Saccharomyces cerevisiae S288C: one gene and its partners. The gene in region 1 interacts genetically with each later gene. Each region holds a gene or a part of one and is shown on either strand. Other genes may lie near its edges.

The links. A genetic interaction does not mean that the proteins touch.
Region 2: mutations in REE1 (region 1) and IDP3 together harm fitness more than expected from each alone (negative genetic interaction), as found in Saccharomyces cerevisiae (2 studies listed by BioGRID).
Region 3: mutations in REE1 (region 1) and CBT1 together harm fitness more than expected from each alone (negative genetic interaction), as found in Saccharomyces cerevisiae (2 studies listed by BioGRID).

The regions. Positions count from the first base shown.
Region 1 is NC_001142.9:20,734-25,152, reverse strand, and holds REE1 (Ree1p), read right to left. Parts: upstream 2,021-4,419; coding exon 1,424-2,020; downstream 1-1,423. Other genes in the region: oligo-1,6-glucosidase IMA5, read left to right, coding at 1-812; YJL218W (acetyltransferase), read right to left, coding at 2,590-3,180; hexose transporter HXT9, read right to left, coding at 3,953-4,419. UniProt on the Saccharomyces cerevisiae protein: Functions in the galactose metabolic pathway via the GAL83 protein and that it may control the level of ENO1.
Region 2 is NC_001146.8:612,111-616,583, forward strand, and holds IDP3 (isocitrate dehydrogenase (NADP(+)) IDP3), read left to right. Parts: upstream 1-2,710; coding exon 2,711-3,973; downstream 3,974-4,473. Other genes in the region: YNL011C (uncharacterized protein), read right to left, coding at 1-1,060; PYP1 (putative phosphoric monoester hydrolase), read left to right, coding at 1,525-2,250; putative ubiquitin-protein ligase ASI3, read right to left, coding at 4,101-4,473. UniProt on the Saccharomyces cerevisiae protein: May function in the production of NADPH for fatty acid and sterol synthesis.
Region 3 is NC_001143.9:44,468-48,472, forward strand, and holds CBT1 (Cbt1p), read left to right. Parts: upstream 1-2,689; coding exon 2,690-3,505; downstream 3,506-4,005. Other genes in the region: ATP-binding cassette a-factor transporter STE6, read right to left, coding at 1-1,828; ER membrane complex subunit EMC3, read left to right, coding at 3,727-4,005. UniProt on the Saccharomyces cerevisiae protein: Involved in 5'-end processing of mitochondrial COB, 15S rRNA, and RPM1 transcript. May also have a role in 3'-end processing of the COB pre-mRNA.

The DNA.
Region 1 (4,419 bases):
AACTTATTCCCTTTACTTTAAAAGACTTTAAGCTGGCTCTTGCTGAAAGCTTTCTGTTTATCGAAAACACAGATTGCTGGTCGACCATCTATTTGGAGAATCATGATCAACCTCGTAGCGTTTCGCGTTTTGGCTCAGATTCTCCTAAATGGCGTGAGATTTCGTCCAAGATGTTGGCTACTCTCATCATTTCATTGACTGGTACTGTTTTTATCTACCAAGGACAAGAATTGGGTATGCCCAACTTCAAAAACAGAAAAATTGAGCAAATCAAATGCGTTGAAGGTACTGGTACATATGCCGCCATTAAACGTGATTATGGTGAAGATTCTGAAAAGATGAAAAAGTTTTTTGAAGCATTAGCTTTGATCTCTAGAGATCATGGGAGAACACCATTCCCATGGAGTGCTGATGAGCCTTCTGCAGGTTTCTCGAAGGATGCCAAACCATGGATTGACATGAATGAATCATTTAGAGACGGAATCAACGCAGAAGCTGAGTTAAAAGATAAAAACTCAGTCTTCTTTTTCTGGAAAAAGGCCTTACAAGTTAGAAAGGAGCACAAAGATATCCTTGTTTATGGACATAACTTTCAGTTCATTGATCTTGATAATGACAAGCTATTCATGTTTACAAAGGACACAGATAACAAAAAAATGTTTGCTGTTTTCAATTTCAGTAGCGATAATACGGACTTTTCAGTTCCTGATAATGAGGCCTCCTACACCATGTTTTTTGGCAACTATGCAAACTCAAATGGTGATTCCCGCACCTTGCAGCCATGGGAAGGAAGACTTTACTTGTTGAAGTAACGAGCACATTTAACATAAACGTACTGATCTTTCGAAACAAATAGTTATGCCGATATTTATGAATAATAAACTTGTATATTTCTTTTTACTTTTGCTTTTCATATGTGAGCATTGGATACTTAACTTACGCTGTACGCTATTTTCAATTGCAATTTATATATGTATATAGAAGACAGAAAATTCACTGAACCTTTTTCCGAAGAAATATAAAATAAAAAGCAACGTACAGCAGAAAAATAGAAAACATCATTATTACTGTTTCTATTGTCTAAATTTAGCCCTTTAAACCCCATCATCATAAGTACTAATTACCACGAATTCAATAATTAGTAAATACATTCGACTATTCTCACCCTAACTTTCGTCACTTTATCTTAAAACACTAGCTAAAAGTCGTTTATTATAACAAAACTAAAAATTTCGTAGTATGCACGCCTTATTGCCCAGTATTTTGTTAACTGTATGGATTGTACTAGTAAAAAAAATCTTGACGAAATTGAGTATAAACAAAATTTTAAAAAGCATAGTGCCAAATCAACAGATCTTAGTGAGGTGCAGGCCTTGTTCTTAACAAAAGCAAACCCCTCTTTATATATTGATATATAGGTGAACTAACTCAAATCATGTAAAGCTTTTCCTAAAGGAGCTGTGAGACTCCATTCCGAGAAAGTAACTTTCAATCCGCCACGCTCAGGTGTGCAAGCCATTGGTCCAACAAGGTAATGGTCAGAAGTTGGAAATGGAGCCAAACGTACTAACGGCCATGTTTTTTTATCAGAGGACACCTGAATCCTCAAAACGCCCTTTTCAACAGTAACACGAAGCCAGAAATCGCGAGCATTTCCGCCATAAACAGCAGTTGACCAATCTGATTTTCCATTTGTCAAAACACTGCTTAGCATTGCGTGGCCATCAGAAATTTCTATGCCAGCTTTGAGCCAATGTCCATCATCTATACGAACCATGATACCAGCCTGATCATAAAGACTCTCGTAGCTTCCCTGAACACGGACTTGTGCAGTAAAAGCACTACCTGTCTCTACTCCCAAAAAATGACCGCTATCACGGGTAAATCCGTAAAATGTTTCACGCCAAAAGTCAGTTTTTTCATCTGTTTCCAGAGTGACTTTTCCTGCCTCTTGAAAAACAGATTTTGGCTTATTGAGCCATGTTCCTTGCGATAATTCAGTATTCTTAGATTCGACCATTGTGTTTGGTAATTTATCTTGTTTGATGGAGAAGCCGTCACTTGGACTTTTGTTAATATTAGGTCAGGTTAAATACCTAGGAAATCTGTGCGTATAGGATCATCCCTTTCTAACTCCATCGAAAATGTTACTTGTTTTGTTCGAGGCTATTTGATGACCCTTTCATATGGACGCATGCAGGTGGCCATATTTTCAGTTTAAAGTTTCTCCGCATGTTAATTTGCGCTGAAAAATTAGAACGGTACTTATTTCCCCGAAAATTTCTCAAATCCGAACATAAAGCTACCAGCCACGCGTTTTCTATACGGTTGGAACTTGAGCAGTTTTACATAAGTTGTAAACTATAATTTTCTCCTCGAAGATAGATTATACCAGAAAGAAGCTACTATACACAGTCGAGTTGAGAATGAGCAACTTAAACCAGAACATATACCAATAATTAATAATCTCTCTGCGTATTTAGTCGACTAAAACTGAACTAGCTTTTTATTTATTCTTATAAGAAAATACGGTACATAATCATAGAAGACAACACTTGCTTTCGATAATTCCTCCAGAAAGTGGATCCATCATTTTCGATAGTTTGTAGTTGTACTATCTTTTTCAGTGATCTTTCTTATCACCTTACAAGGATTACCTGCTGCCACTACATTTTCTGGTATGTCACGAATCACAACACTACCGGCGGCAATCACGGAGTTTTTACCTATATTTACTCCAGGAATTATTGACACTCCACCTCCAATCCATACATTGTCTCCAATGGTCACAGGCATGGCATATTCTAATCCTTGAAGCCGTCTTTCCACGTCAATTGGATGACCTGCCGTATAAATACCAACATTAGGGGCGATAAATACGTTGTCACCGATGACTACCTTGGCCCCATCCAATATAACAAGATTGTGATTGGCGTAAAAGTTGTCTCCGATATAGATGTTACTTCCGTAATCACAGTAAAACGGCGGTTCAATTATAAAGTTATCAGTGCAACTACCAAGTAATTCTCTTATTACCTGGCTCTTTTTATTCTCATCAGCGGGGCTAAGGGTGTTGTATTCGTGCAATTTTATTTTAGTCTCTTTTCTAATTTTCAAAAGATCTGGATCATAGTTCGCATCATAAAGCTCACCAGGTACTATATTTTCTAATACGCCCATTTTTCTCTAGAAGCCTTGTTTATATGCTTATTAGAATGCTTCTCTATGTTCTTGTTGTAGTACGTGAGATCTCACTCTTTATACTTGCGTCTTTTCGAAGTAATGCTAAATAGTGCCTGGCCCAGCGTCACAGGGTGTTTAACGAGCGCGTACTATTTGTGAATTTTTTTGGGCACATTGAAAACTTTAATTTTTTAAGTTATTCAGGCACGGCACACTATGACAGGAGGTTACGTCGGAGAAATAGCGTTATGGCCGATTGTGAGAACATTTAAGAAATTTCAATCCATAACAATAAAGTGGCAGTGTCACCTAAAATATTAGTACCAACTTGCCCAATTGGCAGAAGGAAAATAAGGATATCAGGCCACCGACTTGGTACTATTTTTTTATGGTAAATGTGTACTTTTACTAAGCTTAATTTGAAACAGACGTCATATGAATGTTTCTGGGGCTACTTGTTACAATTCTCGGTCCGCAACAACTGAACTCTGTACTGTTCTGTCTCAATGCTTGGTTTCTTGAATGGAATTTCACTCCACCCTTCGGAACGTTACAAAATTTATACATTTTAAAAATTATTCATGAGAGAAAGATGCTATAGTAATCTGTTCACCCTGTCAACTCGTGTAGCTCATGTTTATCATATAATTTCTAGTTCTATAAGGCATAACAAATAGTCCGTTAAGGATTAAGGCGTAAAAAAGTAAATATTGTATATAATAAATAATTAAGTTCATGTATTTTTTTCCAGTTACTAAAAACCGGAAGATTAGCTGGAAAAGAACCTCTTGTAGATTGGTCTATCGTCATGGTCTATGGCGTCAGCATCGTAATCTGCGGTTCTTCTTTCTGGTGGCACCCATGAGGCTGATTTCCATGCTGGCACACCTTCCAGCCACATAGTATTCACCTCCTCCAGCGTCAGGCCTTTTGTTTCTGGGACAAAGAAAAAGACATAAAAGTATGCAAAAACCAGACAGCCTAAGAATACATAACCGTAGTAAAAGTTGATTGCCCCGGTAATGAATGGGGTAAAGAAACTAATCAGGAAACCCCACATCCAGTTTGCAGCTGTTGCGATTGCCATTCCTCTTGATTTGACCCTAAGAGGAAACGTCTCTGAGACAATAACGTAACAGCCGCCTGCCCAAGTGGTGGCGAACGAAAAAATGAAGAACATAGTAAACACAATCATACAGTTACCGGCGCCCTGAGAAGTAATGTCTTGGTGACTGC
Region 2 (4,473 bases), on another chromosome or scaffold:
CAAAAACCTCTCTATCATATTTATTATTTATGAGCAAAACTTTTTTCGTATTATTAGATTCCAAAATTACTTCAGCAAGATTACCAAGAATAAGGATTGGGAGTAAACTTGTCATTAAAGAACCGATAGAATAAACGACCATGTCAGCTTTTTTCACCTTGGAAATAGCTCTTGGATTTCCCATTGGTTTTATCTCTTCGCCATATGGGTTTATATACAATATCCTATGTACCGGAGCAGGTAGATTCTGTGATTCATCAAGCTTGTCAAAATGCAACTGGGAGTTTTTCAGTTCTGGAAGAATATAGATAGGATTGGCATACTCCTCTTCCGCTTCTTCTTCCTCATCGTCGAGGAGAATTTTCAAATGGTCGTCATAAGAGCCAAGTAAATGAATAAATTTAGCTGAATGTGCTATGCTATTATCTTTAGGAACAGATTTCGAGGGATGCGATATTTGTGATTGGCCAGTTATCATCTCACCATTCGTCAACAAAGCCGAGATATGATGTGTGTGATTGGTATTTATACATGGAATAACATGAACTAGAGGACTGCACCTTCCTATCCTCATCATTAGTTCAATAGATGCGTCTAGAGAACCTAAAAACAATCTAGCACCAGTTAAGAAAAAATTTCCAATGGATGCACTCTCAAACTGAAATGGATTCGAGTGTTTGATTTTTTTCAAGAGTTCTGCTTGCATATGGATAATAAAAGAACGACACATTTCCTTAACTTCTATCGAAATATTTTTCCATATGGGATGCGAACCTTCCACTATTTCATTCCATTCTTTCTTAGCTAATAACTTATCATTAGGTAGCCTATGGCCAAACAACTCGACAAGCTGTTCATCTTGAAGTAGTCTCACTATTCTAGATCTGATATCACCAATTGCTGGGCCACCAACTATTCGTAGAATTTCACTTGTGGACCCGCCATTATCTGATATTGGCAATATATACGTCAGCTCATGTCCTTTTAAGATAGAAATATTAGAAAAGCAAGGAGTCAATGAATTTGTGGCAGTCCCACCGGAGCACACAACGACGTTCATCTAGTAAACTATCTCACCACACTCTGCTATTTTGTCCCCTTATTACCTCGAGGGAACAAAAGATTCCGTTTCCTCTCTTTCATAGTCCGCCTAAATAGCTTAAGAAATAAACCCAAACATCACACATTAGCGTTCTTTAGGAAATACGAAACAGGTTAATACAACAGTAGTAACTTTCCACATAATATCTAAGCATTACACGCTGAAAAAAACTCTTTATTGGATATCAACAACCCAACACATTGTACGACATATTCTTTTATCGTTCTACTATGGTACCCTGTTCAAATCTCTTTTTCTAAAATGAGCGAAATTTTCGAAAATTATCGCATAATTTTTCATCATCTTAAATTAAAAAAATACAGTGTCCTCTATTGTTTATCTCAACAGAACGCACACATTCTTGAAACTTGCTCACATAACATAAGCTGGAGTGACATAGCATTTATATATATACAAGGGAAATGGTCAAAGCTGTTATTTTTACCGATTTCGACGGTACCGTTACTTTGGAAGATTCTAACGATTATCTGACCGATACTTTAGGTTTCGGTAAGGAAAAAAGATTAAAGGTCTTCGAAGGCGTGTTAGATGATACTAAGTCTTTTAGGCAAGGTTTCATGGAAATGCTGGAATCCATCCACACCCCTTTCCCTGAGTGTATCAAGATCTTAGAAAAGAAAATTCGATTGGATCCTGGTTTCAAGGATACATTCGAATGGGCTCAAGAAAATGATGTCCCTGTCATCGTTGTTTCCAGCGGAATGAAACCAATTATCAAGGTTTTATTGACCAGATTAGTTGGACAAGAGTCTATTCACAAAATTGACATTGTTTCCAATGAAGTGGAAATCGATGCACATGATCAATGGAAAATCATCTATAAGGATGAAAGTCCCTTCGGACATGACAAATCCAGAAGTATCGATGCTTATAAAAAGAAATTTGAATCTACCTTGAAAGCAGGTGAACAAAGACCCGTTTACTTTTACTGTGGTGACGGTGTTTCTGATCTAAGTGCTGCAAAAGAATGTGATTTGCTATTTGCCAAAAGAGGTAAAGATTTGGTCACTTATTGTAAAAAACAAAACGTCCCATTCCATGAATTCGATACCTTCAAAGACATCTTGGCTAGCATGAAACAAGTTCTGGCTGGTGAAAAGACAGTCGCTGAATTGATGGAAAATTAGTGCAAGACTCTTACGAAATATTAAAGTTTAATACCGTGTAACTGCCTCTTACATATGTATGCATATATACGTACGTACTATATTTTTCTTGTATATCTTTTTTATTGTCTGAGAGAAAGAACATCAAAAAATAAAGGAAGATCCTCCTCGGATTTAGCATGCTTAATGCCGAATCTTTAATACAAAACGAATGATATTTCAAGTATACTAATTAGAAATCAATCAAACATACCAAAAGGGACAGTAAAGAGAAAAGCAGGAGCTCTCTTTTAGGGGAAAAGTAAAATGTGATTAGTATTTCGTTGCGTGTACTAGTCAACTCTTCTTGTCATTCTTAAATTTACATTAATTACCCCAATTTTGCATCTTCGTATATAAGAGTGTTCCCCTTATAAGCTTTCTCCTGCACATACCTGCAGTAAACACAAGCAACACTTTAGAGATAGTTGTCCAAGTTAAAATGAGTAAAATTAAAGTTGTTCATCCCATCGTGGAAATGGACGGTGATGAGCAGACAAGAGTTATTTGGAAACTTATCAAAGAAAAATTGATATTGCCATATTTAGATGTGGATTTAAAATACTATGACCTTTCAATCCAAGAGCGTGATAGGACTAATGATCAAGTAACAAAGGATTCTTCTTATGCTACCCTAAAATATGGGGTTGCTGTCAAATGTGCCACTATAACACCCGATGAGGCAAGAATGAAAGAATTTAACCTTAAAGAAATGTGGAAATCTCCAAATGGAACAATCAGAAACATCCTAGGTGGAACTGTATTTAGAGAACCCATCATTATTCCAAAAATACCTCGTCTAGTCCCTCACTGGGAGAAACCTATAATTATAGGCCGTCATGCTTTTGGTGACCAATATAGGGCTACTGACATCAAGATTAAAAAAGCAGGCAAACTAAGGTTACAGTTTAGCTCAGATGACGGTAAAGAAAACATCGATTTAAAGGTTTATGAATTTCCTAAAAGTGGTGGGATCGCAATGGCAATGTTTAATACAAATGATTCCATTAAAGGGTTCGCAAAGGCATCCTTCGAATTAGCTCTCAAAAGAAAACTACCGTTATTCTTTACAACCAAAAACACTATTCTGAAAAATTATGATAATCAGTTCAAACAAATTTTCGATAATTTGTTCGATAAAGAATATAAGGAAAAGTTTCAGGCTTTAAAAATAACGTACGAGCATCGTTTGATTGATGATATGGTAGCACAGATGCTAAAATCAAAGGGCGGGTTTATAATCGCCATGAAGAATTATGATGGCGATGTCCAGTCTGACATTGTGGCACAAGGATTTGGGTCTCTTGGTTTAATGACGTCCATATTGATTACACCTGATGGTAAAACGTTTGAAAGCGAGGCTGCCCATGGTACGGTGACCAGACATTTTAGAAAACATCAAAGAGGCGAAGAAACATCAACAAATTCAATAGCCTCAATATTTGCCTGGACAAGGGCAATTATACAAAGAGGAAAATTAGACAATACAGATGATGTTATAAAATTTGGAAACTTACTAGAAAAGGCTACTTTGGACACAGTTCAAGTGGGCGGAAAAATGACCAAGGATTTAGCATTGATGCTTGGAAAGACTAATAGATCATCATATGTAACCACAGAAGAGTTTATTGATGAAGTTGCCAAGAGGCTTCAAAACATGATGCTCAGCTCCAATGAAGACAAGAAAGGTATGTGCAAACTATAAACCAATCCGCCATTCATTTGAAAAGACAAGTCTGGCCTAGGGTTATAGTGTTCAGACTTGAGGTTGAACATATCCAAAAAAAAAAATTCCTATGATGTCTTAAATACGTATACCTAATAAAATAATTCTAGACTATATTCAACTTACTGTAACCCTTCACCTCACTATCACAGCTGACGCATGTAGCAAATCCTTTATAACCCAGAGATATCCTACAATCATCGCATAATGCAAGGCATCTACAGGGCCAAGTTACAATATTTCTTTTATTAACTTTGCAGATTAGGCAGGAGAGATCCATTTCCTCCACTTCGTCGCAACTATCAAAGGCAAAATCAAACTTGAACTCTAATTTGTCATCGTCCTTCATATTTAAACGTTTGTACATATACCTGGAGTTTGTATGATGCAGAAGGCGTTCAATAACAACATCGACTAGTACACCTTGTGGGTTTCTTTTACCATATTGTGATCTAGTCAACGGTCCATTAACCTTATTA
Region 3 (4,005 bases), on another chromosome or scaffold:
CAGAGTAGTCATTCTGTAGGTGATACCATGTGCTAAATGTAGTGGTCGGATCGGCTAGAAGTTCAGACTGGGTGCCGCTTTCAACAACTTCACCTTCCTTCATTAAATATAAATAGTCATCAGATTCAATTTGGCTCAACTCATGCGTCAATATGATTGTAGTCTTTCCTTTCCTCCAATGCCTAATTGCCTTCATCAACAGGTTGCGATGAACAATATCTAGAGCCGATACAGCTTCGTCTAAGAATAATATTGGAGTATCTCTGATGAATGCACGTGCTATAGCAACTCTTTGTTGTTGCCCGCCACTTAGTGTGACACCCCCAGTCCCAATTAATGTTTCCAGTCCATCGGGAAGGTCTAGAATAAATCTATCCAGAAGAGCCATTTGACAGGCATCTTTGATTAAATGTCTATTTTCATTGGTGCTGCAATCGGCATTTCTTACCGAATCTGTTGAACCTAAAAGAATATTTTTTCTAAGAGTATCATTAAATAGGGTACAACGCTGTTCTACGACGGTGATATTTTCAATTAGCAATTTTTGGTCGATTGTTTGGATATTGTGGCCATTGATAGATATCGATCCATTATAGCCATCGTAGAACCTTAATAATAAGTTGGATAATGTAGATTTACCTGAGCCTGATTTTCCTACTATGAAAGTAAATTGTCCTGCAGAGAAATTTAAACTAACGTTCTTTAAAACTGCTTCCGAAGGTCTGCTTGGATAAGAAAACGAAACATTAGCAAATGTTAGATCACTGGTGGCATAATCTAGTGGAAATTGGTGGGCTACAGTTTTATTTAAAGGATTTCGCTTGGATCCATCTTTTAATAGAGTCATGATTTTTTCCATAGCCACTCCGCCTTTTTGAAGAACAACTATTTGGTGTAATGTATTATTTAAAGTCGAGCCCAGCATAATGCATGAATGGAAGCAAGTGATTACATCGTTAATGTTCAGCTTGCCCTTTTTGATCATTGCGGAACCAAACCAGAATCCCTGTACAAACATAGTCAACGTCAAAAATCTCAAGATCCCAGCGTTTGCAGCAACAAAAAAGCAACTCTTGATGAAGAAAGTGTTACAATTTAGTATGATTTCCTTGAATTTTTTCCTTTCTAGACGTTGTGTACAATATAATCTCACTAATTGAGCGGCATTCATCGACCATGTAAGTAATTGGGCTGCTTTACTCGTTTCAGAATTCTCCTTCTCTGAATATACATGAATCATTCTGGAAAACACCACTGCAAAAAATGTGATTATTGGAGAGCTGCAAAGAATAATTAAAGTTAATGACCAAGAATAGTAGAATGACGTCCCCAGAAGCGCACATATTGCAACTAAATTCTGGAAAGTTATGGCTGATGCCTCTGCGGAGCTTGATCTTAGCTCTTCCACACATCTGTTGATTTGAGTAAAATCTCCTAACAATTTTTCATTATTGTCGTACCATTCCATTGGCTTTTCCTCCAAATATGCCTCCAATATCTGTGACCGTATTCTAAAGCCTTGTCTCTCGCCGATGTGCATCCAACTTGTTAGAGAAAGCCACATTACTGGCACAGAAGCCGCACCAAGTGCCATTACTGCCATTGACCTCTGTACTAGTTGGGAATACAAACCTTGATGTGACCCATTAGCCACGAAAACTGATAGTAGATCGAACACTCTGCCCGTCAGGATAGAAGTAATTGCCGGCACTAGGCCTGTTGCCACGGTACCTATTATCATTATCATTAACAGCCTGTAGTCATTCCGTATGTTCACGTACCTGAAAATGTGATAGTGTTTTGTAGTCTTAAAACTTAAAAAGTTCATGACGTAGCTTGTTCTTTGTTTCCTAGTGGAATTTTCAGCGGCACTTGAAAGCTCTCTGTGTGAACGTAACAACGGGAGATAGTTCAGCCATATCCAGGTTTATAAGCTCTGGTATTTAAATGATGAACGGCAATAATGCAACAGTTTTCATATCTGAAACAATTGTATATGTGCGAAGCAGCGTGTAAATTTCCCTATTAGGTAATTACATGGCAAAAAAAATAAGAAACTATTTTCTTAAAGTACCTTTACCCTTTGTGGAAAACAATAAATTGTATAGTGGCAGAATAGAGAAAAGAAAAAGGAAAGGAACATATTTGTCAGTGCAAGGACCATCATTGTTTGAAAAAAGAGAGGATATTACTAGTAGGTAATAACAGCTATGTCGCGTTATATATATTATATATAAAAATTAAAAAATAGAAAATAAAATTTCAAATGCCCTCTGTGGGAATTGAACCCACGATCCCCGCATTACGAGTGCGATGCCTTACCACTTGGCCAAAAGGGCTGAGTAATTTTTATACCTGCTAAATTTGTGGCTCCGCTATACTTTACAGATTTATCTATTTTGAAGATGATACATTTAGCAAAAATGACCTTAAAAATGAAGCAGGTGCCATTTGCCTATAGCTTGGAAAAGTAGTAATGGTTATTCAAAAAGTTAGCAGCGAGATCTTTTTTCTATCGCGCGTTAAAACGTTTGAACAGATATATATTATTCAGCCACAACTATCTATATATAATATTTCTTCGATTTTTCGTTTTCTCAAGTTTCGTCTTATTGATTGATCAGAAGTTTACTGCGCTTTTGGGTAAAGAAGCATTAAACAAAGGAGAGAGAAATATTGCAAGGAAAAAATGGTGAGCTATGGAAGTCATAGTAGTGAGGTTTCGAAAGTTCTTAAAACGCCGAAGTTTGTGCTTAGGTATGGAAATGTATCCAGCAAACAACGTTTTGCCCTAAAGCGGAAGATAAATTACAAACTACGTGAAAGCAAATATCAAGAATACTTGAATGAATACAACACCTTCGTGCTTTACGACTGGGAAAACAGTGGCGCTGGTAGTCTTGTCGATTCTTCCTACAATCTCCCCTCTTTATGGAAGGAATTCATAACAGAGGGCATATCTAAAGGAGCAATAAACGACAAACTACCGACAGTCTTTATGAAGAGGAAGTTGACAAACTCAGCGTTGGGTCACTGTTTGGGACTTGATTTCCTGACTGATCCGAGCGAGTCAGAACATGAATACAGGTGCATGTTTCAGACAGTTCAGGACATCCCATCTCTCTCGCAACTGATCTTATTCAACAGCATGCCAAACGTTCCAGTAAGATTGAAATTGCATACCATTGGTATAAATATAAATTTCGGCTGCAAACGTTCCCTGATAAGCAACGGTGGTGATCAAGACACTGAAATGAGCGAAGCAGTCTCTTATATCCAGCCTTTATTGGAAGAATCCTCGAGAATGTACCGCAATTTAAACTACTGGAAGCTGTTAAAAATAGCACGAAATAACAAGAAGGATGAACCGTTGGATCAGAGCACGCGTATCAAGTCGCAAGTTAAGCTTTTACTGAGTCAATTGGCGACGAACCGAATTACCTCACCTTCCGTCACGGATCATGGGGGTCACAACTGGCTCATATTCACCAGAAGACGGTTGTAAACGATAAATATGCCATAAAGATCTGCGAACTGTACATATCCATATATAATGCGTATTATTTGGTGACTATAGCACTGGCTTCCGCCATCTCACTAAGAACGAAGAGGTATAATAAAGCATTGTGATGTTAAAGAATGACGATTAACCAGCATTTACAACAACTTCTCTTCAACAGAATAGACAAAACAACAAGCAGTATTCAACAAGCTAGGGCGCCGCAGATGTTATTAGATGACCAGCTGAAGTATTGGGTCCTGTTACCTATTTCGATTGTCATGGTTTTGACGGGTGTACTCAAACAGTACATCATGACACTTATAACGGGAAGCAGTGCAAATGAAGCACAACCAAGGGTAAAGTTAACTGAATGGCAATATCTACAATGGGCACAATTATTGATTGGAAACGGTGGGAACCTGTCTTCCGATGCATTTGCTGCGAAGAAGGAATTTCTAGTTAAGGATCTCACTGAGGAAAGGCACCTAGCCAAGGCCAAGCAG